Solanum lycopersicum: one gene and its partners. The main gene of each other region encodes a partner of the protein of the gene in region 7 in a complex. Links are inferred from orthologs where the notes say so. Each region holds a gene or a part of one and is shown on either strand. Other genes may lie near its edges. The genes, in order: large ribosomal subunit protein uL4c, large ribosomal subunit protein uL24c, large ribosomal subunit protein cL38, 50S ribosomal protein L27, large ribosomal subunit protein uL10c, large ribosomal subunit protein bL9c and large ribosomal subunit protein bL28c.

Region 1 (3,347 bases), on a different chromosome or scaffold from region 7:
CAGACATGGATTCTTCAACTCCTAGTGATGATGATGATATGAATATTTGGTTCAAGGATTGTTACTATGATCAAAATGGAGTTGAAGATTTCACTAACTTTGTTGGTGCATGTAGGGAGTTTTCTTGGGAAGAATCTTGTGAATCTATGCTTTATGCGCCTGATGTCTGATATTCATATTGGAGCTCAACTAATCTGGATTCACATTAGTACTGAGGGATTCATTGTTTCCTCGTAAAGGTGACTTTGTACTTTGAAAGATTCAAATCTGAAATCTCTAATTAAGGATGAAGGAGTACTTATAGATAGTCATTGAGATAGGAGTATTGATTAAGACGTTTTTCATGGCAATTGTAAATCCCATATTAGTATAAATTCTTTTTACTAAAGACCTATGAACTTTCTGTTGCTTTTAATTCAATGTGGAATAAGCATAGCTTACCTAATTTTAGGATGTAAGCTGCAGAACCTATTTTTATGGTACATTTGAAATTATTAGTTCAAAATTTAATTGAGTTTGTTAAGTTTCAACATAAGTGGAACGAGGAGAAATTGATTTCTTTATATACTCTTGAACAATCATATCTCCTCGATTTATCTTTTGAATTGAGTTAAATCTAATATGGTATTGAAGTTACGTCCATCTCACTTCATTATCATTTAATATTAGGTCTCCATTTTATATTGCTTACATTCATGATATCTGACCATGAACGTGCAAAGGAGCGTTGAGTCTTAAATTGATTGATAAGCATAAATAATCTTGAACAATTATTTCCTCTTGAGCTAGCTACGATGTTACAGTTAGATTAGATTCAAGGTTTGTTTTCTTAACCGAATTCAACATACGAGTTGGGCTTAGCGTATCATGGAAAAATTGGAAAGGGAAGGCAATATGTAGCAGGCTGCATCAATAGCGCCTCAAAATAAAAGAAAATGAAGGTTTTGGGCTTATGATGGTGTAGCCCCAACTAACAAAAGACTTGATCAAGAAAATTGTATAACTTTTATATTATATCAAAATTAATAAAAATAAAGAGCACATTTCATAAAAATTTTATTTGTCGCTTACGCTCTAAAAAATTTATTTTTTTTCCTACACAAAAGAAGATTTAATTATGTTCTTAAAGTATTGTAAATTAAATAGACATGCCCTTCAACTCTTCGTCAATAGTTTGGCTTATATATGACCTTATCATTTTGAATGTGTTATTAGTCTAAATGAAACATTTGATTAACCTCATTTGTTGATTCATAAGTGAAAAAATTATCAAATATACTCTGACAACGATAAGCATAGAAAGAATAGAATATTTGTAGACCTTATCACTATCTCGTAAAGCTAGAGAGTCTGTTACGTCGTAAAGTTGAAGAGTTCATTGGCGCAAAAGGATCGGTCCTTCACTTGCTGATCGTTCGCAAGTCGAACTCGCTCTCTTGCCACGCCTTTCACTCACTCGCTTGAGACGGACTCAATCACTCTTTGAGTTTGGAGGATTCACTCTCTTGTTATTACCCGCAGGGAGCGCATGTTTCCGCAAATATGTCCCTAAATTTATCAAATATGTGCTCAATTTCAAATACTTTGAGGGTATATATGACTTTTCCATTTTCACTAAATTTATTTGAACAAAGAATATGAATACATTTTGATATCCTTCTTCCTCATTTGTGGATAACCCAATCCATAGGCTTGCAGTTTGCTCCTTCACTGCAAAAATGGCTACTTCTTCTTCTTTATCTTTCTTTTCTTCCACCATTTTCTTCTCTAACTCCAACACCCTTCACTCCTCAAAGCAGCAGCAGCAGAAACAACTCATTTTCAAACCCAAACAACAACAATTCTCCATCCGTTCAGAGGCCGCCGCCGCCACTATTCCAATTCTGTCCTTTGATGGTACCGAAGTGGGCTCCACCACTCTCAACTTAAAATCCGCCCCTCTTGATACCGCACGCGCCGTCGTTCATCGTGGGCTTACCACTGACCTGCGCAACCAACGTCGCGGTACTGCTTCCACCCTTACCCGAGCCCAAGTACGGGGTGGTGGTATCAAACCATACCCACAAAAGAAAACGGGTCGAGCTCGACGTGGGTCGAACCGAACTCCTTTACGACCAGGTGGTGGGGTTGTGTTTGGGCCGAAACCTAAGGATTGGTCAGTTAAGATTAACAAAAAGGAAAAGAGACTCGCGATTTCTACTGCGCTTTCGAGTGCTACACAGAATGCCATTGTTGTGGAAGAGTTTGATGATAAGTTTGAGAAACCGAAGACTAAGGAGTTCATTGATTTGATGAGAAGATGGGGATTGGACCCAAAAGAGAAATCTTTGTTTTTGATGACGGAAGTTTCAGACAATGTGATTCTCTCCAGCAGAAACATTAGCACATTGAAGATGTTGACACCCAGAACTTTGAATCTTTTCGACATATTGGATTCTGAGAAGCTGGTTTTCACTAAATCAGCTGTGGAGTTCTTGAATGAACGATACGGAAATGATGATGATGATGATGATGACTGGGAGGTGGTGGACGAGGAAGAAGAAGATGGTTAGTTTTTGCTTCATTTTGGGTATGAAGTTTCCTTTCAATTTTAGCTAACTCGTTAATTTGCTGCATTCAGGTGGCGAGGTGGAGGAGAGTGCTGAAAGTTCTGAGTAATATATGAACATGGGGCGAAAAGGGTCTGTTCCATTTTAGAGGAGGCTTTACCTTACAGGGAGCTTAGTATATTTCACTTTGAATTGTATTTTATTGTATGATAAAACTAGGTGATTTTGGTTGATTTCATGTCACTGACTGCATTTGTCCATTACCTTCGTTGGAATAGTTTACTCTTGATTTTCGTTCCGCTCTCATTACCACTTTGAGTTCTTGATTTTTATGATAAGAGTGATTAGTTACTTTACTAATTAAGTCTTGTGTTCTGGCAAAACTACATTAATTGCTTAGTAGATGAAGCTTTATATAAGATTTATGGGTTACAAGTTGTCAGCCAGGCGAGATTCAGCAAAGTAAAATGATTAGGAAAGCTTTGTGTTTGAGTCTTAGGCTTGAAGCAATTAAGCAAAGTTAAGAAAAGGAAACCTTTATTTGGGTGGAAAAAGCTTCATCACCTTTTTCTTTAATACAAACACAAAGTAATTGGCAGGAAAAAATGCTCTTTACTTTGTTTTGAGTCATTGGGGGCATATGGGATGCTAAGCATTATTAACCTTGAAACAGACCATATCTAGTAGACTATCTATGGAGGCAGATAACTTGGACATTTGTACTATCAAAATATGTGATGGAGAGTATATGAGTATCTCTAGGCTTTTACTAGAACTTTTGAGTTTAAGCGCTAATTG
Region 2 (4,298 bases), on a different chromosome or scaffold from region 7:
ATGTGATGTGAAACTTCTTTTTTTTGTGGCACATGTAGAGAGCACTGATCTCGAGTAACTTTCAGAACCCCTCCACTCCCCCCCCCCCCCCCCCCCCCTCTTCCCCTACAACCTCTTTTATTGTGCATATGTTTCTGAAGCCTATTCAGTCATATAGAAACTAAGCTCCATAGGATTGATGATTGTAGGCAGCCATGACTACAGATGGAAAAGGCGGATGGGAGGAAATCGCAGATTCCCGTCTTGATGGGAAGTATGATCTGCAAGAACTTAATGATGTAGCAGCACTTGCATACAAATGTGTGAATCGTGCTGCCAAGAAACGGCCTTCCATGAGGGACACTGTGCAGGTTCTGTCAAGGATACTCAAGTCTAGACACGAAAGAAAACGCCAGAAGCGATCTTTATCTGCAACAGCAGAGGAGATTACCATCAATGTTGAACAAGTAGATCATCGGAATCCAATCTCTGGACATCGACGTGTTGAATCTATAGATAGCACAGCTGACTCGTATGAAGTTTAACTCAGTTCTTCCATTTGTTTATTTTTTTGTTTCATCTTGTAAAATTGGTCAGGTTGTTAGGTTTCTTATTTACAAAAACACACTTTTGTCTTGGTGAGTTCGTTTGGGATACTTAGGGGTATGTTATAGTCTGAGTGTATGATAGCCTTTGTTCCCAATTTTGTTCTAAGTTTTTGTAAATTTGCGTGGAAGGTTAATGAATGGTAGAAAACGGGGAAAATCCCAGATCAGGCTTTTCCACTTCTTCTACATTAGTATCCTATTCAATCTAATTTTATTAAAAAAGAACCAAGCTTTTTTTATTTTTTAATCCCCCGATACTTTTTTTCAATATATTTATTTGTTCAATTCGTCTTTTATATGTTTTGTCAACCTATAAAACATTAAAACTTGATCATTTTTCCCTTCTTAAATTAGGGCAAATTGATACTTTACAAATTTATAATTACAAAAAATCTTCAAAACGGATACAATAATACAAGCGTTGATACATTAATCTAATGCGCGAGATGCAATAATTTAATGTATGAGATACACTAATCTGATGCGTGAGGTACATTTTATATATGATACACTAATCTGATGCGCGAGGTACATTTTATACATGATACACTAATCTGATGCGCGAGGTACATGATACACTAATCTGATGCGCGAGATATACTAATCTGGTGCGCGAGGTACATTTTATACATGATACACTATATGATGCTCGAGATACATTAATCTAATGTGCGAGATACATTTTTATACATGATACACTAATCTGATGCGCGGGATACAATAATATGATTCGCGATAGAAATTGATGTGATGCATGAAAATTGTGAAATTTTAGAAATTTGTAAAACTTATAAGGGATAATGATAATAATTAAACTAAAAGGTGAGATTTTCGTAATTAATCCACAATCCCGAAATAGCTGAAAAGGGACTTTATAATTGGGCCGTACTCGACCCGTTGAAGGTCCAATTAAGTTGGATCGGGTGTCCAGGGATAGAGAGAGAAGAAGACGAAGGTTCTGGTTTTTATTATCCTATCCAAATACTCAGCTCAGTGTTGTTTCTTCCTTCAACAAAAGGATTTTGCAGAAGGTTTTGAACAATGGCGGCTCTGCAGAGCTCCTTTACTGGTCTCTCCATCTCCTCCACCTCCTTCTTCGGCCAACGCTTCTCTCCTCCTCTCTCCCTTCCTCTGGTATGCTTTCTCATAACTTCAACTATCTGGTTTTCAAACTGAACTATCTCAAATGTTAATTGTTTTGTTTCTACAACTGTATCATTCGGTCCAGCTTGCTCACAACTCGACTAATTACGTAGAATACCTGCTACCTCTAGCCAGAATTGAATTGTGTTGCAAGTAACTTTCTCCATCCAGTCTTACATAAATGCGAAGAAATAAACTAGTGTATTGTGATTTGAACCAATAAATCGTAGTTGTTCACCACTGCATTGACCACTAGGCTATATCCTATCTGTTTATCTCAATTTCAATTGTCTTTGTGAAAGGTCTTTGTTTGAATAATTTGATTTCTATGTATTAGGGATCATAGGAACAAAGGTATCCATTTCCATTGTACTATTGATTATAAATTAATTTTATATTATTTGATTACAATATATTGTGAACTTTTTCTCTGCTTGGTCACCATTGCTACCTGAGTCCTTTCTCATATCATATGTTTTTTCGCTATTATAAGTTTTGACTGCGTGTTTGGTACGAAGGAAAATGTTTACCTAGAAAACAAATGTGGAACTTACTAATTTTCTAGTGTTTATATGGTAACTAAGCTAGATAATATTATTCCAAGAGCATTTATATGTTATATATCCAACAAAATACTATGGAGGCGAGATGGGATGGGGAGTGGGGATTCGGGGATGGACGGACGTGATATGGTCAAGAAGTGGGAGTTGGAGGGATTGGGTGATGATAACTTGAAATGCTACTTATCCATCTTGTTTTTCTTACTTCCACTACGGAAGTCATTTTCTTTATTTTGAACTTGAACTTGTTTTCCTAAAGAAAATATTTTCGTAACACAGGAAAGTTGGAACTACATACCAAACACAGTGTATTTCTAGCTGCAAGAGAATAATTTTATATATAAAGACATCTACAATTTGATACAGTAGTTCCTCAAAAGTTCTTCAAAAAGTCAAGTATATTAAGAATATGCTAATTGGTTAACTTAAACTTACCCCCTCTGTTGTGATTGATGTCTTCCAAGTTCTAACATAGGATGAACCCTGTATTTGACTTAAGGTTCGAAATTTTAATATTTGGACATATTTATCAATTTTTTAATACATATATAGGGTCTGAGTTAAAGCTACTGGGTGCTGCTGAACCCATATTATACATATGCCTCTGTGTTCCTCGATAATAAATCGTTCTCATATTATAGTTACCTGTATAATCAGAAGTTATTGGAAGCAAATATGGAATAAGATCTGTCTCCAGAAAATGCACTTGCTTGTTATTCGGTTAACACTTTTTGGATGTATATCACGCCTTACGCAGTTTGTCACTTTTTATTGTGTCAACTGTAAAACTGGATAATCTTTTGCCACTTTAATGACAATCTCCATATAATGCCGTGCAGGTTAAATCAGCAGAAGGTCCATGTTTGATTACAGCAAAGGTTGGTATCTTGATCCATTTTGGTCCTTTAGTATATTGTCCGAGATAGACATTTCCGGCAACTACTTTTATAGGGTTGCTGTTAATGTGGTCATGCATTTCTTTTATAACTTATGATGTAATGAAGGAAGTGCTCGAACTAACTTGTCAACAGCTTTTAAAAATGGCCACCAAATGTTTGTATTGCTAAACCTTTGGTACTAATTTTTATGGGTATGATATTCTTTTAGCTGAAACAACAGTTAATGAGAATTGTGATTAGAATTAGCTTTATCATTGAATAAGAGCTTCTTTTTATGTCTATTTTGCAGCTTAAGCGATGGGAGCGTAAAGAATGTAAGCCAAACAGCCTTCCAGTACTACACAAAATGCATGTAAGGCTGGGTGATACTGTAAAGGTAATCTCCGGCCATGACAAAGGTAAAATTGGAGAGATTACCGAGATCATCAAGCACAACAGCAAAATAGTAGTAAAAGAGGTGAACTTGAAAACCAAGCATGTGAAGAGTCGGAGTGAGGAGGAACCAGGCCAGATAGTCAAGGTTTTATCTCGATTTCTTTCTTCTCTATCTTGCCTAAAAATTGTTATCTTGAGATTTCATTTCGTCGTGGCTAGCATCGAATTCATCTTTGCCCTAACAAGAAAGTAAAACTTTGTGTTAAGATTTTAGATTGAACTTCCCCAAGTTGTTTGGATTGAGACGTAGTTGTTGTTATTGTTTCAGATTGAAGCTCCTATTCACAGCTCAAACGTGATGCTTTATTCAAAAGAGCAGAAGGTAGCCAGTCGGGTTGGTCACAAAACTTTAGACAATGGAAAAAGAGTCCGGTACCTCATTAAAACTGGGGAAATCATCGATAGTGCAGAGAACTGGAAGAAAGCAGTCAAAGAGAAGGGGAAAACAACAGAAGCAGTAGCTGCTGCTTCCTAGGAGATCCACTGGTCTGTAAATTCTAGTTCGATTTTGCTAATTTTGAATCTTCTCTCATTGATATATTATGATTCTGTTGTCACCTTCACCTTTTTAACTCAGTAACATAAGATTTTATATTAAAGTACATTTACTCAAAAATTCTGTTTGCCAGTACTATTACGTACTAGAGTTTGATGGTTAATGGGTCGAATACAAT
Region 3 (2,275 bases), on a different chromosome or scaffold from region 7:
TAAAACCACTATTCTATTTTCTTTCATCTTTGACTATCAGGGTACATGATACTGGATCGGACACCAGAGTTATAAAAATATGCAATTTAACTCTTTTTCCAATAAAACAAAGCACTAATTGCCAAAATGCTAGAGGTAACCAACTCATTTTTACTCGGCTATAGGATGTTTTGGGCTGATTAGTGCAGATGAAGTTGGTCAATCCATTAATCTTGATGATTCATATAAGTGGGGGAACAATAAAGGTCACGGACTACAAATGGGATAGACTGGCCTATAATATTACTCACAAGGCTAACAGTAGATGCAAAGAGACGTATATGTTTGTTCTTTTATGTGTAAGAATCATACTCAGGTGTATTTTGTATGACCTACTTATTTTCAAGTATCTTTTTCACGGTGTTTGATTGTCATGTAATAATTGATTGAGTCGCCTTCAACATCAAGTGATTGAGTTCACGTTTGATGGATAAAAAACACTATTAATCCTTCTGGAGTGGGGTGATTTTACACATATATATTATAGCAAGGAAAGAGTAATAGGTACACGTGAACTCAAGTTGTGCCTAAATAAGCAACTAATAACAAAAAAGTGTTATTATGGTAATGAAAAAATAAAAGTATCCATTCAAGTGAAGTTTACTTCAATATCATCGAAAAAGGAAGGAAAATGAAACGATTTGACACCAATTGAAGGAACAATTTAACCTTTTAGAAGTAAAGTCATTTCCTCTAAACATGTAACCTACTAATAGTCAACATTCACTTCTCATAGTTATGTCCAAAATACAACTACTATGCTCCATATATTATACAATAACTTTTATATTAAATCATATAATATCAGAGAAAGATTAAAATAATTATGACTAGTTGAAAACATTACCAAACATACAGACACAAGTTGAGGAATTGTGTCCCATGATCTTATAAGATTATTACTCATTTGAACTCAATTAGGCCGTGTACTTTTGACTCTAAATTATATTCACTTATGTACTAAAATTTCATAAACTATTCTTTAATCACAATGACCTTTGGGTCTCTAACTAAGAATTTCTCCGTCTCTGCCCTTTATACACACCGTCCATCGCTCCTATCGATTGTGAAGTTACGTTTAGTTTTCAGACTTAATATATGAACATAAATGGTAAGTTATTATTATACAAAAATATAAACTATACATAAATTAAAGACCAACACTAAATAGAAGCAAAAGTGTAAATGATCCCACAGATTTATTTGGGCCAGACCAATTGTTGTTCTACTACATCCAACACTCAAATAACCCAAAAGGGCTTTAAGGCCCAAATGCCAAACGGTGTCGTAACCTTAGCAGAAACTGAAGTCACCAGAAGATAACGAAGGCAATCCACTTCAAAGGTTCCATTAAACACAGCCAGAAGAAGGAAAAACCTTTGAAGAGAAGAAAAAAGAAAATGTCAGCCTCCGCCATATTCGGGTTGCAGATGGCGGTGTTGCCGCGTTCCTCAACTGTTTCAGCGACCGGATTCACCGGCGGAGCCACCAGGTTGGCGTCGGCACCCACAAGTATCGGGGGATTGGTAATTGAGTGCTCATCTAGGCCACAGAAGAAGGCTACAGCTCACCATAAGAAGACACGTCCACGGAAGACTCAAGCTTGGGATATTCGACGTGGACCAGCTGTTTATGCTCCGTTACCTCCCTTACCATCGGAGTGGTCCTTTGCCAGTGATGAATCGGGTCAACCCGCTGCCGCCGGAGCTTCAGAGTCCGACGCCAAATCTGAGTAATTTTTCTGTAACTTATCATTTCGGCTTTTGTATAATGGTGTTTTCCGTCTGATACTTTGGGGAAATTTGCAACTTGTTCAATTGCAGTTTTGGCGCAATAAGTGATTTGAAATGAATGTTTTACGCTTTACTTTTTAATCTATTCAATGCCACTGGATAATGCCGTAGCTTGTGAGATAATAAACAATATCCTTCGAATATCGGTTCCGTATAATAAAATAGCAAAATTATATATTATGTAAAGCAAATATCAAATGTGATCGGGGAGAGGGGTCTCGTACTAAAAACAATGAATGAGAAAACAGTAGCTATGTTTGTATTTGCATTAAGGCAATATACTCGCTCATTCAACATCGGAATCCTTTGAACTATGTCGCAACAACCATTCCGATCAAAACCAAACTATCCAGTAGATTAGACGAGCCAACAATGTACATTTTATGTTCCTACTGTAAATGGCATATTTACAAAGTATGAAACCCAATTATTTGCCCTCCAGA
Region 4 (4,188 bases), on a different chromosome or scaffold from region 7:
ATCTTCTGAATCATACATTTCATTCTGTACTCATACAAACTGTGACAAAGACTCATGCTTTCAGTAACACAATTTACAAACAAAAAAAGACAACAATGGCAGAAACACAGTTTAGAAAATGTGCCTGCAAATGTGTTCCCAAGTAGCTACTAGCAATAACCAAAACGACAACAGAATGTTTGAAAAATCGAAAGACCATTATCAGCAAGTGGTGATGGGATTATCTTCAGAGGATTCAGCAGCAGAAGCAACTATCAACTGAGGCTCAGGGATGACACCTTCTCTTCGTGCCTTTCTACGTTCACGTTGTAATCTGAAGGACTCTCTCTTTCGGTTTCTATAGCTGTTGGGGTTTTCAGGTTGCACCTCGCGTGGATAAACACTTATCTGCACAGTCAGTATACGTTAATAACACTCGTGTACCACATATCTACAAGCAGTAAGCTAAAGAACTCAACCTTTTTCCTGTCAGGTCCAAACTTTTCAAATTTGACTAGTCCATCAATCAAAGAAAATATTGTGTGATCTTTGCCAAGTCCAACATTCTTTCCTGGGTGGAACTGGAAATATCACCACGAGAACGATTAGGGAACAGAATATATGGCAATGCTAAACGGAGAATGCAACTTTTGAACTACTCTTAGAGCAAACAAACAGACGATAACAGGATCATATCAGAGCCGAAAAAAAGTAAAACTAATACCAACCTCTGGCATAAACCCTTTTACTATCTAACTGATAGAAGACGACATCTACTCATAGCATCATACTGTCAGAAACTGACACTTTCGGCAAAGAAAAAAAACTCAAGTCGGATTATAACAAATGTGCATTTCTTAAAGAGAACTTCCAACTATGTCTTCACGACACGAGCTCAAAACCTTAAACCTTATAGCAATCTGTTACTTCAAATGACAAGATATGTATCCCTCTAGTACCTTGTTTTGTACTCAATCTAACGCCCTCTAGACAATCCACATATTTCTAACAAATAATATACAAACCAAACGAAGAAAGCCAGACGAATGGAGCAGAGTTATTGACAAGATGCCAGGACCTAGTATGTTTGTGAGGTATTGAGCAAAAAAACTGGAATTACACTCTACTTGGGTGGGTTCATCCGAATTCATTTCAAGCACTATTAATTAATCAAAAGAACTATCAGAACTTCCACAGCAAATACGAGTTTTAGGCAAAAATAAAAAAGAGAGAGGAGATCCAGAAGAAGTAAAATTGAAACCTTTGTACCGCGCTGGCGAACGATTATAGAACCGGGCTTGGCGACTTGGTCACCATAAATCTTGACACCAAGCCTCTGTCCAGGAGAATCTCGACCATTCTTAGTGCTACCAGCTCCTTTCTTGTGTGCAGACTCAATTGTCAATGGAGATTTCAACGGGAAGGAAACGGAGAACTTAGGGGCAATGGGAAGAGAAACCCCAAGGAGAGAATTGGAAGATAAGGAGAGTCCTTTGAATGAGGAAACAAGACTCAAACTCACTGCCATTTATACGCTGCAAAGAAAACAAAGAAATTCAGTAGCCTCTCGTGGTACTTACTATCAGAGATGAGAGGCCTAAAGGAAAGGAAGTGATATTTAACAATGGGAAAAATATGAGCATAGAACTACTAAGAGGACAAAACTATTACCATAACAACTACCAAGGATCTTAATCGCCAATCTAAAATTTCCCCGGATCATCGCGAACACAAATTGGAGAAATATATTTTTGATAGTAAGTCTACAGAAGGTTTGACTCTGACTTTAACACTGCTCGGTATGACTAAAACAGTAGAAGAGTGATAAAAATGGTCCTAAACATATTTCCTAAGAAAAAAAGTTTTCCATCAAAAGGGGGAAATAACTACTCTCACTTATGAGATAAGTCATTTCCTTTTACTACGATTTCAGCTCTTTCTCCTTATCGCTCGCTCCAACCACTGTTTAGATAATATTGTCATTTCTTAATACTCAGCTTTATCAAAATATAAAACCAATTTGCTGAGCTTATTATCAATCTTCAAAAAAAATACAAAACACACACTCCTAACAATAGAAGTACCTTAAGTCCTCATTACAACTATCTTTACTCCATTATATATCTCTTGCATTTCAATACACATTACTTCCACTCATTGTTTTTCTTTTCAAAATTACACCAAACATCAACCCCCCTCCACCACAAACGCATTTCGCAAACTCTACACCACAAAATATTCCGCAAATAAGTCCTTACGCAAGCAATTGGTCATAAAAGAACCATATTTAATCATAAAGGACAAGTCTTTAAACCACAAAACAAAGAGGAATCAAAGGAAACCAGTATCAACAACAAAATAAACACTAGTATGTTCATCAAGATTGCAGTCCACCTAAAATATTAGTAGCGGTCAATAAAGTAGATTGATAACCATAACGTCTCAAGTTCAAATCCTAGTGAAGCATAAATACTAACCCCCTCCATTTCAATTTCCAATAGCAACTCTTCAATTCTAACTTTTCACATTAAACAACATTTTGATACATTCGACATAACATTAGTTTTACTTCAACCCCACTTGATTAAAAAAAAATCTTTACTTTCTTATATTATTTGCCAAAGTCGAACCACACAAACAAATTGAAATGGAGAGAATAGTAAACCAAGATTTGCGAGTCAGCTAAAATTAAATACATTTTCGAACACCCAATTAAACATAGTACAAGAAAAAAACATTGAATTTACAGAAGAGGGGAAAAGAGATGAACTCACCGAGGGGATTATGGAGCCACAATGGCAAAATCTTCGAGATAAAAAGATAAGAGAAATGTCAGCCATCCTTTTTATAATATACTTGACCCGTTTTGAATTGGGCTTTTTTTAGCTTGTTTTCGGGTTAAGTTTAATGGTTTCGTTTATCGAACATAAGTTATGGACATAAATTAATTTTGCTTATAAATATTGAAGTTGTAAATATTTTTATCGAACTTGTAAAGGGGAATAATATGATTTTAATTAGTAAAATAAAATGTTTTTTCAGATATCTTTTCTTCGAAACTAAAATCCAAGTGATTGTTTTTATATTTTTGAAAACGTTTTTTAATCTCAAATTGATATTCTGCGAAAAGTATTTTCAAAAAATGAAATCATATTTAAAAATTTTTAATTTAATTTTTATCGAGAAAATTTCATACTCCTACTTACGGGCATATATAATATGATTTTTCGATAAAAAGTATAAGAATAATTTTTTTTTGCATACCTCCATACAAGTACGGTTAAGAATGTCAAAATGAGCCTAAATATATATAACTCGTCTAACTCATTTAAAATTTTATAGGCGGGAGCTCTAGATATTTTGAATTGGATCAATCTCAACTTATTTACGTTTTAGCCCATTTTAAAATAATTTTTAATTGTGTCCAATGTAATCTCTAATTTCAACATGTTTTAAGAGTATTTTTTGTATTGGTGTAATTTATGTTCTCATATTGAATGCATAAATTAGAATCTATTTTATATTTTTTATGATTTATATATCAATTTTATAACTGTTTTTATTGAATTAAAATTCAAATAATAGTTATTAAAGGAAAATAACAATATGTTTAAATTATTGAGATTAAACATGTCAAATCGCACAGGTCATGATCCAATCCAATGTTTATCCTATTTGAGCCTAACATAATTTGAAGAGGTTATGATTCGACTTAAATTTTATTTGAACTCATTTTAATATTTTAAATTTTAATTCAACCCGATTATTTAACACGCCGACCTACAATAATGCCACATTATTCTTGAAAATTGCTCATATTATGCTTCTTGAACTAGTTAGTGGAATTGATTGCTCGAGTCAAAAGTTGTGTTGGTAAATTAAAGGATTTAAAAGAAGAATATTTAAAGTAAAATAGATTGTTTAATTTATTTACTTTTATAGGACAAGAACAAGTGGAGAATATAAATGCCATGAACCTAATTCTTTCAAAGAATAAATATATTTATTGGTTAAAAAATAATATTAGGTGAACATTTTAAATATATCTAAATTTCAATATATAAAATTAATACAATAAAATAATTAAATCCAACATCATGCTATATAATCTATATGTGCAAATACATCAATGGTTTTAACATGTAATAGTAAAATACCGATAAAGATTGTGATGGAAAATTAAAATAATTCAGAATTTCACCATTTTTA
Region 5 (2,807 bases), on a different chromosome or scaffold from region 7:
AGAAATCCCAAAAAGTGGAGTCTGGGGAAGGTAGAGTGTACGCAAACCCTACCTCTACCTAGTGGAGGTACAAAGGTTGTTTCCAAAAGACCCTCAGTTCAAGTGAAGTAAATGAAAGTACTAACAAAAAGGGAAAACGACAATAAGGAAAACATGAGAACTAGTAATAGGAAAGCACTGCAGAGGATACATGCAAGAAACAATAACGTCAACAATATAGTGCGATCAACATATAACAATAGCAAGAAACTGCAAGAATAAAGCTACACACTTCCTCCAGACTACTACCAAAGCCCAAACTCAGCAAATAGCAAGATCTTAGTGCACCGAGCTGCCCTTTTAATATTTGACAAATATAGTGAGCTGAAGCAGGAATACAGACTATTTTCTTGGTTCAGTGATAATGGAAAGAGCAGAATAGTACATTTCACATAACATAAATCCTCTCAAACAGTTATGAAGTAATCCAGATAATTATCCGCCAAATACGAGGACACAAATTTAGAACAATTGGCCAAGGATAAATTCATTCTACCAAAAACATAAAATTTACAAAATTCCATCTCTCAGAAAAATTTCAAATATTGATCCAAATAGACAATAGTATTAGCTTACCATATCCAAGAATTACAACAAAAATTATTGACTTCCACCTTCTTCCTCCTCCAATTTCTTTACATAAGCCTTAAGAACCATAACCAAATTCCTTGCTGGAGCTTGAATAGTCCCAACAACAGCTGAAGCAGGTCCTTTCAAAGACCCAAGAAGCTGTGAATAAATCTCAGCTCTTGTAGGCAAATTCTCAAGCACCTTAAACTCATCAGGCCCATAAAACTTCCCTTCAAAAACCCCACCAGTAAAATCATTATCTTCCAATTTCTTCTCCCTTAGAAAAGTCCTATAAGGTTTCAAAGCAGCTGGGATTTCTTCACTATGAACAAATAACCAAGCATTCATTCCCTTCATACATGGTTTCAATGCTTCCCATTTTGTCCCTTCAATTGCTTTAAGTACCAATGTGTTCTTAGCAACAAGAAGCTTTGTTGTTTCTGGGAGTTGAGCCCTAAGATCTTGAAATTGCTTAACTGTTAACCCCTTGTAACTGATTCCAGCTAAGAGATAACAATCTTCAAGCTGTTGCTTCACTGTTTCGACTGTTTCTTCTTTCTTGGTTCTGCTAATGGCTGAACGAATAGTTAGAGTTCTGGGTTTGAGTTTGAGGTGAGAACTGGAATGGGGGATTATGAAGGGATTGTTGAAGTGGGATTTCACGGAAAATGGGTAAGAGTGAGAGGAAGAGGAAGGTAAGCTGAAGAGAGCAGCCTCCATTGATGATAGCTTGAGAATTGGATTGCCTTATCTTTTGTGCTAAGATAGAATTTAGGGGTATTTCATAAACTTTATGTTTTTGAAAATATTTATGTCATACCAAACAAACCATTAAAGAAGTTAAAAAAGGCAAAATAGGTGTAATATTTACATATATTTTATCGTCTTTAATTTATAAAATTATGTTAGATATATTTTTATTATTATTATTAACAAAATTCTTGAGATGATTTGATATGATATATAAAAGATAATAATTTCATAAAATGTAAAATTATTTTATCTTATATTTAAAGATATTAATTATGATTCGATCAGTTATTTTAAATATATATTATCATTATTTTCAGATGCTTTATTAATTTTTTTTTAAAAAAATAATATAATAATCATATCAATTTTTCTTCTATATTAAAATATTTTATTAATTTTGTTTGAATTTCATAGTAGAGTCGCATTAAGTATAATCAATGCAAATATTATATGATGTATTTGGCATTAAGGTGTATATAAGATATGGAATTATGTGGATATTAGTAAAAAAAAATATTCATGCATTAGCATAATAAAATCACTATTGCTCTTCAAAACTCTTTTAACATCATTTTACTATATTTGTGAAAGATACTTATATAAATAAAGAATTTTGTTCAAAATTGATGTAATACAGATTATTTTCTTTACGTCAAATCAAATATTAAATATAAAATAATACTCCTATCAAATATAACTCATACAAATATTAATAATAATTAAATTATTTACTACTAAAATTCACCATATTCAATATTATTCCTTCTACACCTCGTCAATCCTTTTTCAAGTATGTATATCTGTATCTACAAGTTTATCAATTAAAAATGCTGGCTTAAAATAAATTTAAAGAGTCAAGAATATTCAAAAATTATTTCTGAATGTAATCAAAATCACAAGTGATATTTTTGTTATTTTCTCTGCTCAGGTCCTAGACTTTGCTTCAATTATATTATATTATATTATTTTAATAAATATAATATTTGAATAGATTGTATCTGTATAGTAAAGACAGAGCGTGAGGTGAAATCTTTTACATAGTATATGGTGAGGCGTATGTCCTGAGACACAAGACGTAAGTCTCATAGTTTTAAGGGGCATAATCACATGTATATTCAATTTTTAGTTTAATTATTAATAAAATAAGCAAAAGTAAATCTTTCAATGATTTATGATTTTTATTTGAGATAAGTATTAATAATCGGTAATGAACAAAAAAAATAATCTATAATTACTTTTTGAGAAATATCATGAATATGATTTGAAGAAAAAAATAAAATAATTAAGGGCGAACGTTTTTACGTCTAAGATTTACTTTTTTATGCTTGGGGCTAATGCCTATGCCTAATGGATCTACGTCTTTAATTTACACCTCGAAGTGTTTTTGATACGCCCCTTCCCGAGACTCGTCCTGAGACTCGCCCCAAATACGTTTTCAAAAATAC
Region 6 (4,078 bases), on a different chromosome or scaffold from region 7:
ATATACAAAATTTGTTATAGCATATAAATATGAATTTTTTATTTGCCATATGTGAAAGTTGCCCTTATTTATATGTGTAAATACAAAACAATAATGTATGAGAGACAGAAAGAGTACGCTTTTACAAGTATGACTTTGATGAAAAAAATATGGCTAAGTGAATGTAAAATACTCTCCCTCCGGATTTAGATGACAAACTTTTTTTTAGTCAATTCTAAAAGAACGATACATTTCTTTATTTGATAAATAGTTAATGACACTGTCAATATTTTGTAGATGACTGGATCCCACTTATTCGACAAAACGTCTACAAAGTTGTGTTCTTTCTAAGGATAGTTTTGAGATATACAAAGTATTTTCATATTTTTTAAACTTCGTGTCCAATGTCCACTACTTAGTCAAGCAACACCACATGAATTGAGACGGATGGAGTATTATGTTGGGCTGTTTTTTTTGGATAAATTTTAGAAATCACATAATTTTAATATGAAATTATAATTCATCCCTCTTTAGTTTGTAATTTCATTAATCCCTTAAAAAGTAACACAAATCGGATACATTTATATGTAACTCGAATACATTAAAGAGTATCTTAGATGCATTATAGCATAAATCGGATGCATAATATGTAGTTCAGATACATTAAAAACTAGATCGGGTACATTATAAAATAAATCGCATACATAATATGTAACTCGGATACATTAAATACTAGCTCGGATACATTAATATGTAGCTCGGATACATTAAAGAAATAATGGATTTTAGAGGTCTTTAGAAATAAAAGGGGATATATGAAAATAAGGAAAATATAAGACGTGTATTTCAGTAAGGGTAAATGATAGAAATCTCACTTTTAAGTTCTCTTACTATTATTATCCCCTATTAGTTTTACAAATCTCCAAAATCCCTCATTTTCACACATCAAATTAACGTATCAGCACATCAAATTAATGTATCTCGCACATCAAATTAATATATATCACGCATCAGATTAATGTATATCGCGCATCAGATTAATGTATCTTGTATAAAGTGTACATCAGATTAGTGTATTATGTATAAATGTAATGTATCGTACTTAATGATTAATGTATCTCACACATCAGATTAATGTATCAAATGATACAATAATATATTATTGTATCATTTGAGAAATTTTTGTAATTATATACTTGTAAAAAACAAATGGTAATTTTGCCTTAAAAGTATGTGATTTCTGTCCTTCGCCCAAATAGCCTAAAATATTATAATTGGACTAAGAAATGGGCTTTACATGAATTGTCCCAATAAGTTTTGTTGGCCCATTAAGACATCCATTATCTTCTTCAGTTCGCCATTACAGATAAGATAACGCTATAAACTGTAAAAAATACAGAAAAACGGAGCAAAAAGTGAAGAAAAGAAGAAGGAAGACTTAGCTATGGCGTCATGGGGTTCATCTTCTTGTCTCCAAAATTACAGCTTAACCAAAAACCCATTTTCCGAAACAGTGAAATTTTCAGAAAGAACTTCAATTTTAACAATTGTTGCTCAGAAAAAAGCCAAGAAAGTTCGAAAGGTGAGCTAATTCTTGAAAATGTGATAATGGGTTGGATTTATAATTGTCAAAATCTCATTTTTTGTCCATTTATGGTTAATAGCTGAATTGGGTATTTTTTGTTTTGATGGAACAGATAATACTGAAAGAGGATATTTCACAGTTGGGTAAAAAGGGAGACCTTTTGGATGTTAAAGCTGGATTCTTTAGGAATTATTTGCTACCATTGGGCAAAGCTCAAATTGTGACAGCTGCACTTATCAAGTAACTCGTTTAACTCTACTTTGAACTAGATTTTTGCCATTTGATTTCATTGCCTTTTAGGTTCTTCTTTCATTAGCTGTACTTTTGTGGAGTTCGCGGTTGTTTGGTAGCTTGGTAGAGTTACGCAGGTATCAGTTATTTCGTCTTGTAACCTGCATAAGATAATACATTATATATTAGTTAGGTAGGTTTTTGAATTACAAATTAAACTTTGTGTTGATTTTATACATGAATAACTTATTCTCTAACTAACTGCCAAACATTGTATTACTTATACATTAAGTTAATATATGAGTAAGTTGCTTTTTTACTAGCTACAAAACACCCCCTTAATGTTTGTTAAAATTGGTTCTGCTTGTGTTGGATGGATTTTTAAGTATTCCTTTTGGAGACTGTTAGTTGATTTTAAGTGTTGAATATTCACATTTCCAATCACCCTGTATAGTTTAACGGCATAATCCACAGTGTGTCATGGACACCTGATGTTGATGTGGCAAATATATTTGGTTGGTGCCTAGATGATCATTTTGTAAGTTGGAGTGTTCAACTGACACAGTGGAGATGAGTTGAGGTGTAGATGTGCATACTCAAAGTTGGAGTGTTTTCTTGCTAGTTGATGCCGAGTTTGAGTGTTTTCTTGCTAGTTGATGCCGAGTTCAAGTGTCTGTTTCTGCATTATGACTAGTTAAATTATCGACTTAACCTTATTATTGAACTCAAGACTTTGGTTCTTCTGTTCGTTATCTTATTTTCATGCCTCATAATTAATGTCAGGATTCTTTGGTTCAACTATTTAAAATGCCACACACAATACTTTGCTTGGCTGTTGATGAGTGGAAGTATGTTATTACTATTGCTTGTTTTGTTTTATCTTTTATCTAAACCAATGGACCTATGTCGAATGGAGATAAAATAGGTATACTTAGTCTATGGGATCCTTTAAACTAATTGTAACTAGCTGAAAAGTGGACGGACCCATGGATTATACATATCTTCGTGCAAAGGTCGTACCAGAATAATCATTTTCGATACTCCTTGAGCAGAAACTCTGTATGGCTTTGGTGTTATAACTCTTGGTCAGTACACAAACTCTGTATGGCTTTTGTTCCCTGAAATAGTGCTTCGTATGATTAATGATTATAGGTTTAAGTAAATTCGCTTCTTTTAACCAAATATAATTTATTGATAACGGATTCGTCTTCAATACAATGTCCCACAATGCATAAGATGGATAATGGTTGGATATAAAACTTTAGATTTCCTACTACTTAGTGACTTTGTCTTTAGCTTTTGGGTGAGCAATAGGCCTAACCAGCTGTTAACATTAATGGTGTGATAGTCCTGTAAAAGTCTTATATATAAGGGATTTGCTATTTCATACTAAAGAACAAAACAAATAGGTGAAGGCTTCGTTAGAGATGGTTGTTAGAAGCAATTTTGGTTTGATATTTTTGATAGCTATTAGCGTGCTTCGCCATCAGTGAGAATTAACTAACTTCATGGATGCATTTTTATTTTATAACATTATGTACTTTTTACTCAGGGAAATGAAGATGGAAGACGAGAAAATTGAGGCTGAAAAACAACGGGTAATTAGATTATTCTGATTAATCTAATCTATTGAAAGTTGAAAAATATATACATTTTTTTTTTATTTTCAAGTCACTAAAAGTCTAAAAGAGTTTCATAATGAATGTGGTTTTAGTTAAACGTTTTTGATTTCAGGTGAAAGATGAGGCACAACAGCTTGCTCGAATTTTTGAAACTATTGGAGCCTTCAAGGTGAAGCGTAAGGGTGGGAAAGGAAAGCAAATATTTGGAAGGTCAGTGAAATACTAAATTGTGATGAGCAACTTGGTGAATATTTGATCTACCTTTTGACGTCATCTCTCTTGCAGTGTCACTGCTCAGGATCTCGTTGATATTATAAAAGCACAGATACAGAGGTACCATTTTCCAATCTTTCTGCCATAGCATGTAAATAGTAGTATGCGAACTAATTACTACTATATGTTCATTGAAGACTGTTAAAGTATATTGTCCTTCATAAGGTTGATCCTGTAATATGAATTTGCATGAACTTGAAAACTGATGTTCTCTGATTCATCTGGTTTATTAAGTAATTCAAATATTTTTCATGCAGTGCTTATTTTCTTGTGTGATTCCTTCTGTGCGATGTTACTTACTCGTTAACATCAGTCATCGAGAACAGTGGAGTATACTGATTCCATTTTCCGTCTATTGCTAGAGCAAAAACTGTTTTTTTGAAGCAAT
Region 7 (4,124 bases):
AGGAGCTAATAAAAGACGACAGCTCTGACCCTCTACCAGATGACAGTAGTGTCTCTGCTCAAGAGACAATCTTCCAAGAAAATCTCGAGGTTACCCGTACTGGTATGGTTTCAGAAAGGAAAGATGAAAATGCTAATCCCAGTCCACTGGAGCATCTTGAGATAAACAATGACTCACCAGTTAAGGAAGCAATTAAGTCAGAGGAAGACAATGGAAATGTAGACGATAGACCTTCTGAACCAGAATTCTCATCGAAAGAAGAGTTGGATGCTCCAGAGGAACTTGAGAAAAAGGAAGAAATCCCTATTACTGAAGTGTTTGATCCGGGCTGTGTACTTGTGGAGTTTAGAAGAGCAGAAGCTGCATGCACGGCTGCTCATTGTCTACATGGACGACTGTTTGACGACCGAATAGTGACTGTGGAGTATGTTCCCCTTGATCTCTATCAGACAAAGTTTGCTAAACAAAACTAATTTCTTTTGGCCCATTCAAAACCTTATGCAGATCTCCCCAAACTTGAACGACGTTAACATAGGATTTCACAATGCTTAACTGAATGTTTGTTTGCAATTTTTACCATTATTGAGATGCCTTGGTGTTAACCCTTTTGTTAGTGCGAGAGTCGTACCCGATTTGAAGCGGAATACATGTTTTCTCCCAGATGTAGAATGGGATGAAGGAATGAGCCATTGTATTATGTCATCTAAAAATTATGAACTTTGTTTTTAAGTTGCAACAGTTTACCTACTACTTACAATATACAGGAGCACAATCTTATGGCTTCTTGAAATCTTTTATTTACCTTCTTATTATTTTGCCTTAATGTCTTGTGCTTGTAGTTCTAAATGATGTTGGTCACTGACTCAGTTGGACAGTTGATGGGATAACAGATTTTAGGGGTTGTTTGGTTAGAGAGATAAGGACATTCATAACATAGTGTGATTGATTTGAAGATAGTAGAGACGTTCAATATTATAATGATTTGATTTTGGTCTATTTGTTTGGTTTATCATAAGTGGAACCTGAAGAGGGAGAAAACGCTTAATATTATAATGATTTGATTTTGGTATAGGCTTAATAATGATTTGATTTTGGTATAGGCTTAATACTCTCTTTGTTTGGTTTGTGATATTAGACTTCCACGTGAGTAAGTAATGGAAATAAGATTAAAGCATAAACTAAGATAACACAAGTAATGCAAATAAAATTAAAGCATAACTATGATAACATATTACTTCCAAATAAGTTAGATTTTGTTATTTATTTATTCTTTTATTTAAATCGTTTGATATTATTAGACTAAAGGAAAAAATAAGTTAAATATATAATAACAATAAAAAAAAATATGAAGGCCAACAAATAAAATCATTACCCACATCCATTTCGTTATCCACTCTTCACTTCCTTCTTCAAAAAAAAAAGCAACATTCTTGAGACAAAAAAGATTCTTGCTTTGAGGAATTGGTTGCAAAAATGGCGACAATCACAGCGGGTATAAGCCTCAGAGGACCAGTAGTGGGTGGTTACAGGACATTTGCAGTGACCAAAAGGGCTTTACCCAAGGTGAAATTCAGCTCAGAGTTGAGTTTTGTGACTTCTCAATTGAGTGGCATCAAGATTTCAAGCACCCATTTGAGCTCTCCTGCTTCACTTTCTGTTCCTTTCAAGACAGCCCTTCAACCTGTTGCTCGTAATTTCTCTACCCTTTTGTTGTGTTCTCTGTGTTTTTAGTTGTTGGGGTTGTTTCTTTTTTGGTCTAGTAATATGCACATGAACTGTTTGTTGTTTTGTTTGTTTCAGTGAATTGTTGGGTTTTAACAATATTGTGAATTGTGTGTAAGAAATTGTGCTTGTGGGGAGGCAGTAGGTAACCTTAGAATTAGTCGAGGTGTGCGCATACTGGCCATACACCACAATTGTCAAAAGGAAATTGTATCTGATAATTTGAAGTTTAGTTAAGTACTTGTTACTTAGGGTAATGGTTGTTGAAGTATGTGCAAACTGACCCCGACATTACCATTATTTAAAATAAAAAAAGAGTCTTGGTGCAATTGCAAGGTTGCTCCTTTGCTGACCTGAAGGTTACGAGTTCGAGGGGCGGAAATATTAACTTTGTAGACCTATTGATGGTAGAGGTGACATTTCAGCTTTCTGAATTTCAATTAATTGGATCACATGCAAAGGGATACTGTATGGTATACACCTTCGGTCCCTCTACCCATGAAGTAGGGATAGTAAGTTCTTCTTGAACATTGATGGGGAAAAAGGAAAGATGATAACTTTCAAATGTTAATACGATGAATCATCATTTTGGTGCAGGTAGCCTTTTTATTTGTGTGTGTGTGGAGTGGCCGTACTCAAAGGGTCACAGGACCGAAATCATCATGAGTGTTACTCAGATAATTGCTCATTCCATACCTGAGACCCCATTTAGTAGTCGGGTGTCTAGAATTCAGATATGTGCTTTGTGTTGATAGCACATTACGTTAGATTGTTTAGTACCAAGTGAAAGTTAGTATTGCTGATATGGGATGAAAATTATCCCTTACAATGTGGAGGATCTGAAGACATAGCCAAAGTTGGAAAAAGTTTGATTCAGTTGCAATTTGCAAACTAAATATATTGTTTTCTTGAAATCTGTGGTATGGTAAGCTGAGCACTTGACATTAATCACATATTATTAAGTTACATATGATAATCAATGATTAAAAACCATATTATAGTTTACTATCTAAACAACTTCTTATATAACTTCAAGAGGAGAGATTAAAGGGGTGTCATCATTCCAGGGGTTTAAAAGTCTGTCTACAGTCGCAAGAAATAGGGATAGGACAACCTCACCATGTGCAAAATTAACAAACTGGGAAGAGCTTGATGGACTACAGCATATTGATTAAAGGGAGCTGCCGCGTTAACTGCATTAATAACAACAAGATCAATAAAATACGGTATATAGTTTGGAAGTTTGTCCATAGTTGTCTTCATATACTGAATGATCCCTAATTTTTCCTCCTTGGCTCTTTGTTCTCTGACTTAAGGATTGCCGATATTTAAGGCATAACAGATTGTCCAAGTGAAGAATTATAAATTATTTCATGATAAATTTCTTATATAGATGGTATCAACAGTTTTTTGGTTAACAAAGTTTGCATTCCTTTGCTGCAATTCATAGACAAAGCTGCAAAAGAAATACTATATGCATGAGAAGATATTATAATTCTTGTCGAGGCCTTTTAGGTCTCATTAAAAACTGACTGCAGCCTAAAGGGAGCTTCATTTTCTTGCTTTCACCTCTCTTGATAATGAGCAGGATTTCCATCTGCCTATTCTTCTCTCCATGAAACTTGCAGCCTAATAGTGAAATAAAAGCTTTATGAGATTCAAAGCTTATGAAAGTAGATTTCTCGCTATCAAGAATATGTAAATCCATTTACCTCTCAAATTCACCTTCTGCATTTTTTAATATTTATTTACCCACCTGTGTCCTTATTACAAGTGACCAAACTAGTTAAAAAGAAGACGAAACCAATAATGAGAGGCTGAGAGAGTGTGTTAGCTGCAGATTTGGAAGGAAAAATCTACAGAACTTGAATCTTCGGTGTGTTCGCCCCTCTGGTGTACATTATATTTTGAATATGATGATAACAGCTTGGTTTAATTCGTTCTCATTGTATGACAACAAATTGTAAAGGGTTGACTTACCTTTTGTGAAATCCAGTAATGGCAGAGTATTTGGCTTTTAGATCACTGATGAAGCTTTAGTTTACTAATCAGAAAGCACATTATGAGAGTCATTAGGAGCACTATATCACTGACACTCTTGCTTGCTTTGACTCCCTTTCTAAGTTGCTGCATTTGTCAAACTGCATCCTGAATTCCTTTGTTTTTTTAGTCCAAAACTACTTAAAGCCTTTGAGCTAATAGGTAAAATAAAACAAATTAGGGACAAGAGTAATCAAATATTCCCAGTGAAGCATCCTTTGCCTTACATCATCATGATCTTTCCTTTCCCCCCCTGCTTTCCTGCATTTTTGTCGGTTGTGCTCGAATATCTTGGCGCCTCTTTATGATAAGTAGCGTATAGAATATTAAGAGAATACATTCTGTTTTTTCAGGTAGAGTAT

What was found.
Region 1: large ribosomal subunit protein bL28c (region 7) and large ribosomal subunit protein uL4c share a complex: the UniProt entries of both Arabidopsis thaliana proteins name them as parts of the 50S ribosomal subunit. The link is inferred for Solanum lycopersicum from reciprocal best matches to the Arabidopsis thaliana genes PRPL28 and RPL4.
Region 2: large ribosomal subunit protein bL28c (region 7) and large ribosomal subunit protein uL24c share a complex: the UniProt entries of both Arabidopsis thaliana proteins name them as parts of the 50S ribosomal subunit. The link is inferred for Solanum lycopersicum from reciprocal best matches to the Arabidopsis thaliana genes PRPL28 and RPL24.
Region 3: large ribosomal subunit protein bL28c (region 7) and large ribosomal subunit protein cL38 share a complex: the UniProt entries of both Arabidopsis thaliana proteins name them as parts of the 50S ribosomal subunit. The link is inferred for Solanum lycopersicum from reciprocal best matches to the Arabidopsis thaliana genes PRPL28 and PSRP6.
Region 4: large ribosomal subunit protein bL28c (region 7) and 50S ribosomal protein L27 share a complex: the UniProt entries of both Arabidopsis thaliana proteins name them as parts of the 50S ribosomal subunit. The link is inferred for Solanum lycopersicum from reciprocal best matches to the Arabidopsis thaliana genes PRPL28 and RPL27.
Region 5: large ribosomal subunit protein bL28c (region 7) and large ribosomal subunit protein uL10c share a complex: the UniProt entries of both Arabidopsis thaliana proteins name them as parts of the 50S ribosomal subunit. The link is inferred for Solanum lycopersicum from reciprocal best matches to the Arabidopsis thaliana genes PRPL28 and EMB3136.
Region 6: large ribosomal subunit protein bL28c (region 7) and large ribosomal subunit protein bL9c share a complex: the UniProt entries of both Arabidopsis thaliana proteins name them as parts of the 50S ribosomal subunit. The link is inferred for Solanum lycopersicum from reciprocal best matches to the Arabidopsis thaliana genes PRPL28 and RPL9.

What each region holds. Positions count from the first base shown.
Region 1 is NC_090806.1:67,227,920-67,231,266, forward strand, and holds large ribosomal subunit protein uL4c, read left to right. Parts: upstream 1-1,227; 5' UTR 1,228-1,718; coding exon 1,719-2,547; intron 2,548-2,620; coding exon 2,621-2,658; 3' UTR 2,659-2,847; downstream 2,848-3,347. UniProt on the Arabidopsis thaliana protein: This protein binds directly and specifically to 23S rRNA. May play a role in plastid transcriptional regulation.
Region 2 is NC_090806.1:68,736,217-68,740,514, forward strand, and holds large ribosomal subunit protein uL24c, read left to right. Parts: upstream 1-1,498; 5' UTR 1,499-1,628; coding exon 1,629-1,721; intron 1,722-3,129; coding exon 3,130-3,168; intron 3,169-3,478; coding exon 3,479-3,709; intron 3,710-3,892; coding exon 3,893-4,099; 3' UTR 4,100-4,240; downstream 4,241-4,298. Other genes in the region: calcium/calmodulin-regulated receptor-like kinase, read left to right, coding at 189-524. UniProt on the Arabidopsis thaliana protein: One of two assembly initiator proteins, it binds directly to the 5'-end of the 23S rRNA, where it nucleates assembly of the 50S subunit. Required for optimal plastid performance in terms of photosynthesis and growth.
Region 3 is NC_090803.1:63,903,610-63,905,884, reverse strand, and holds large ribosomal subunit protein cL38, read left to right. Parts: upstream 1-1,439; coding exon 1,440-1,775; downstream 1,776-2,275.
Region 4 is NC_090810.1:58,850,415-58,854,602, forward strand, and holds the start of 50S ribosomal protein L27, read right to left. Parts: upstream 2,801-4,188; 5' UTR 2,754-2,800; intron 1,515-2,753; 5' UTR 1,508-1,514; coding exon 1,241-1,507; intron 561-1,240; coding exon 459-560; intron 388-458; coding exon 202-387; 3' UTR 1-201.
Region 5 is NC_090803.1:3,526,023-3,528,829, reverse strand, and holds large ribosomal subunit protein uL10c, read right to left. Parts: upstream 1,434-2,807; 5' UTR 1,330-1,433; coding exon 640-1,329; 3' UTR 501-639; downstream 1-500. UniProt on the Arabidopsis thaliana protein: This protein binds directly to 23S ribosomal RNA.
Region 6 is NC_090810.1:57,591,530-57,595,607, reverse strand, and holds the start of large ribosomal subunit protein bL9c, read left to right. Parts: upstream 1-1,278; 5' UTR 1,279-1,423; coding exon 1,424-1,561; intron 1,562-1,676; coding exon 1,677-1,804; intron 1,805-3,347; coding exon 3,348-3,393; intron 3,394-3,529; coding exon 3,530-3,627; intron 3,628-3,702; coding exon 3,703-3,750; intron 3,751-4,078. UniProt on the Arabidopsis thaliana protein: Binds to the 23S rRNA.
Region 7 is NC_090808.1:67,409,465-67,413,588, reverse strand, and holds the start of large ribosomal subunit protein bL28c, read left to right. Parts: upstream 1-1,324; 5' UTR 1,325-1,473; coding exon 1,474-1,690; intron 1,691-4,115; coding exon 4,116-4,124. Other genes in the region: uncharacterized protein, read left to right, coding at 1-473.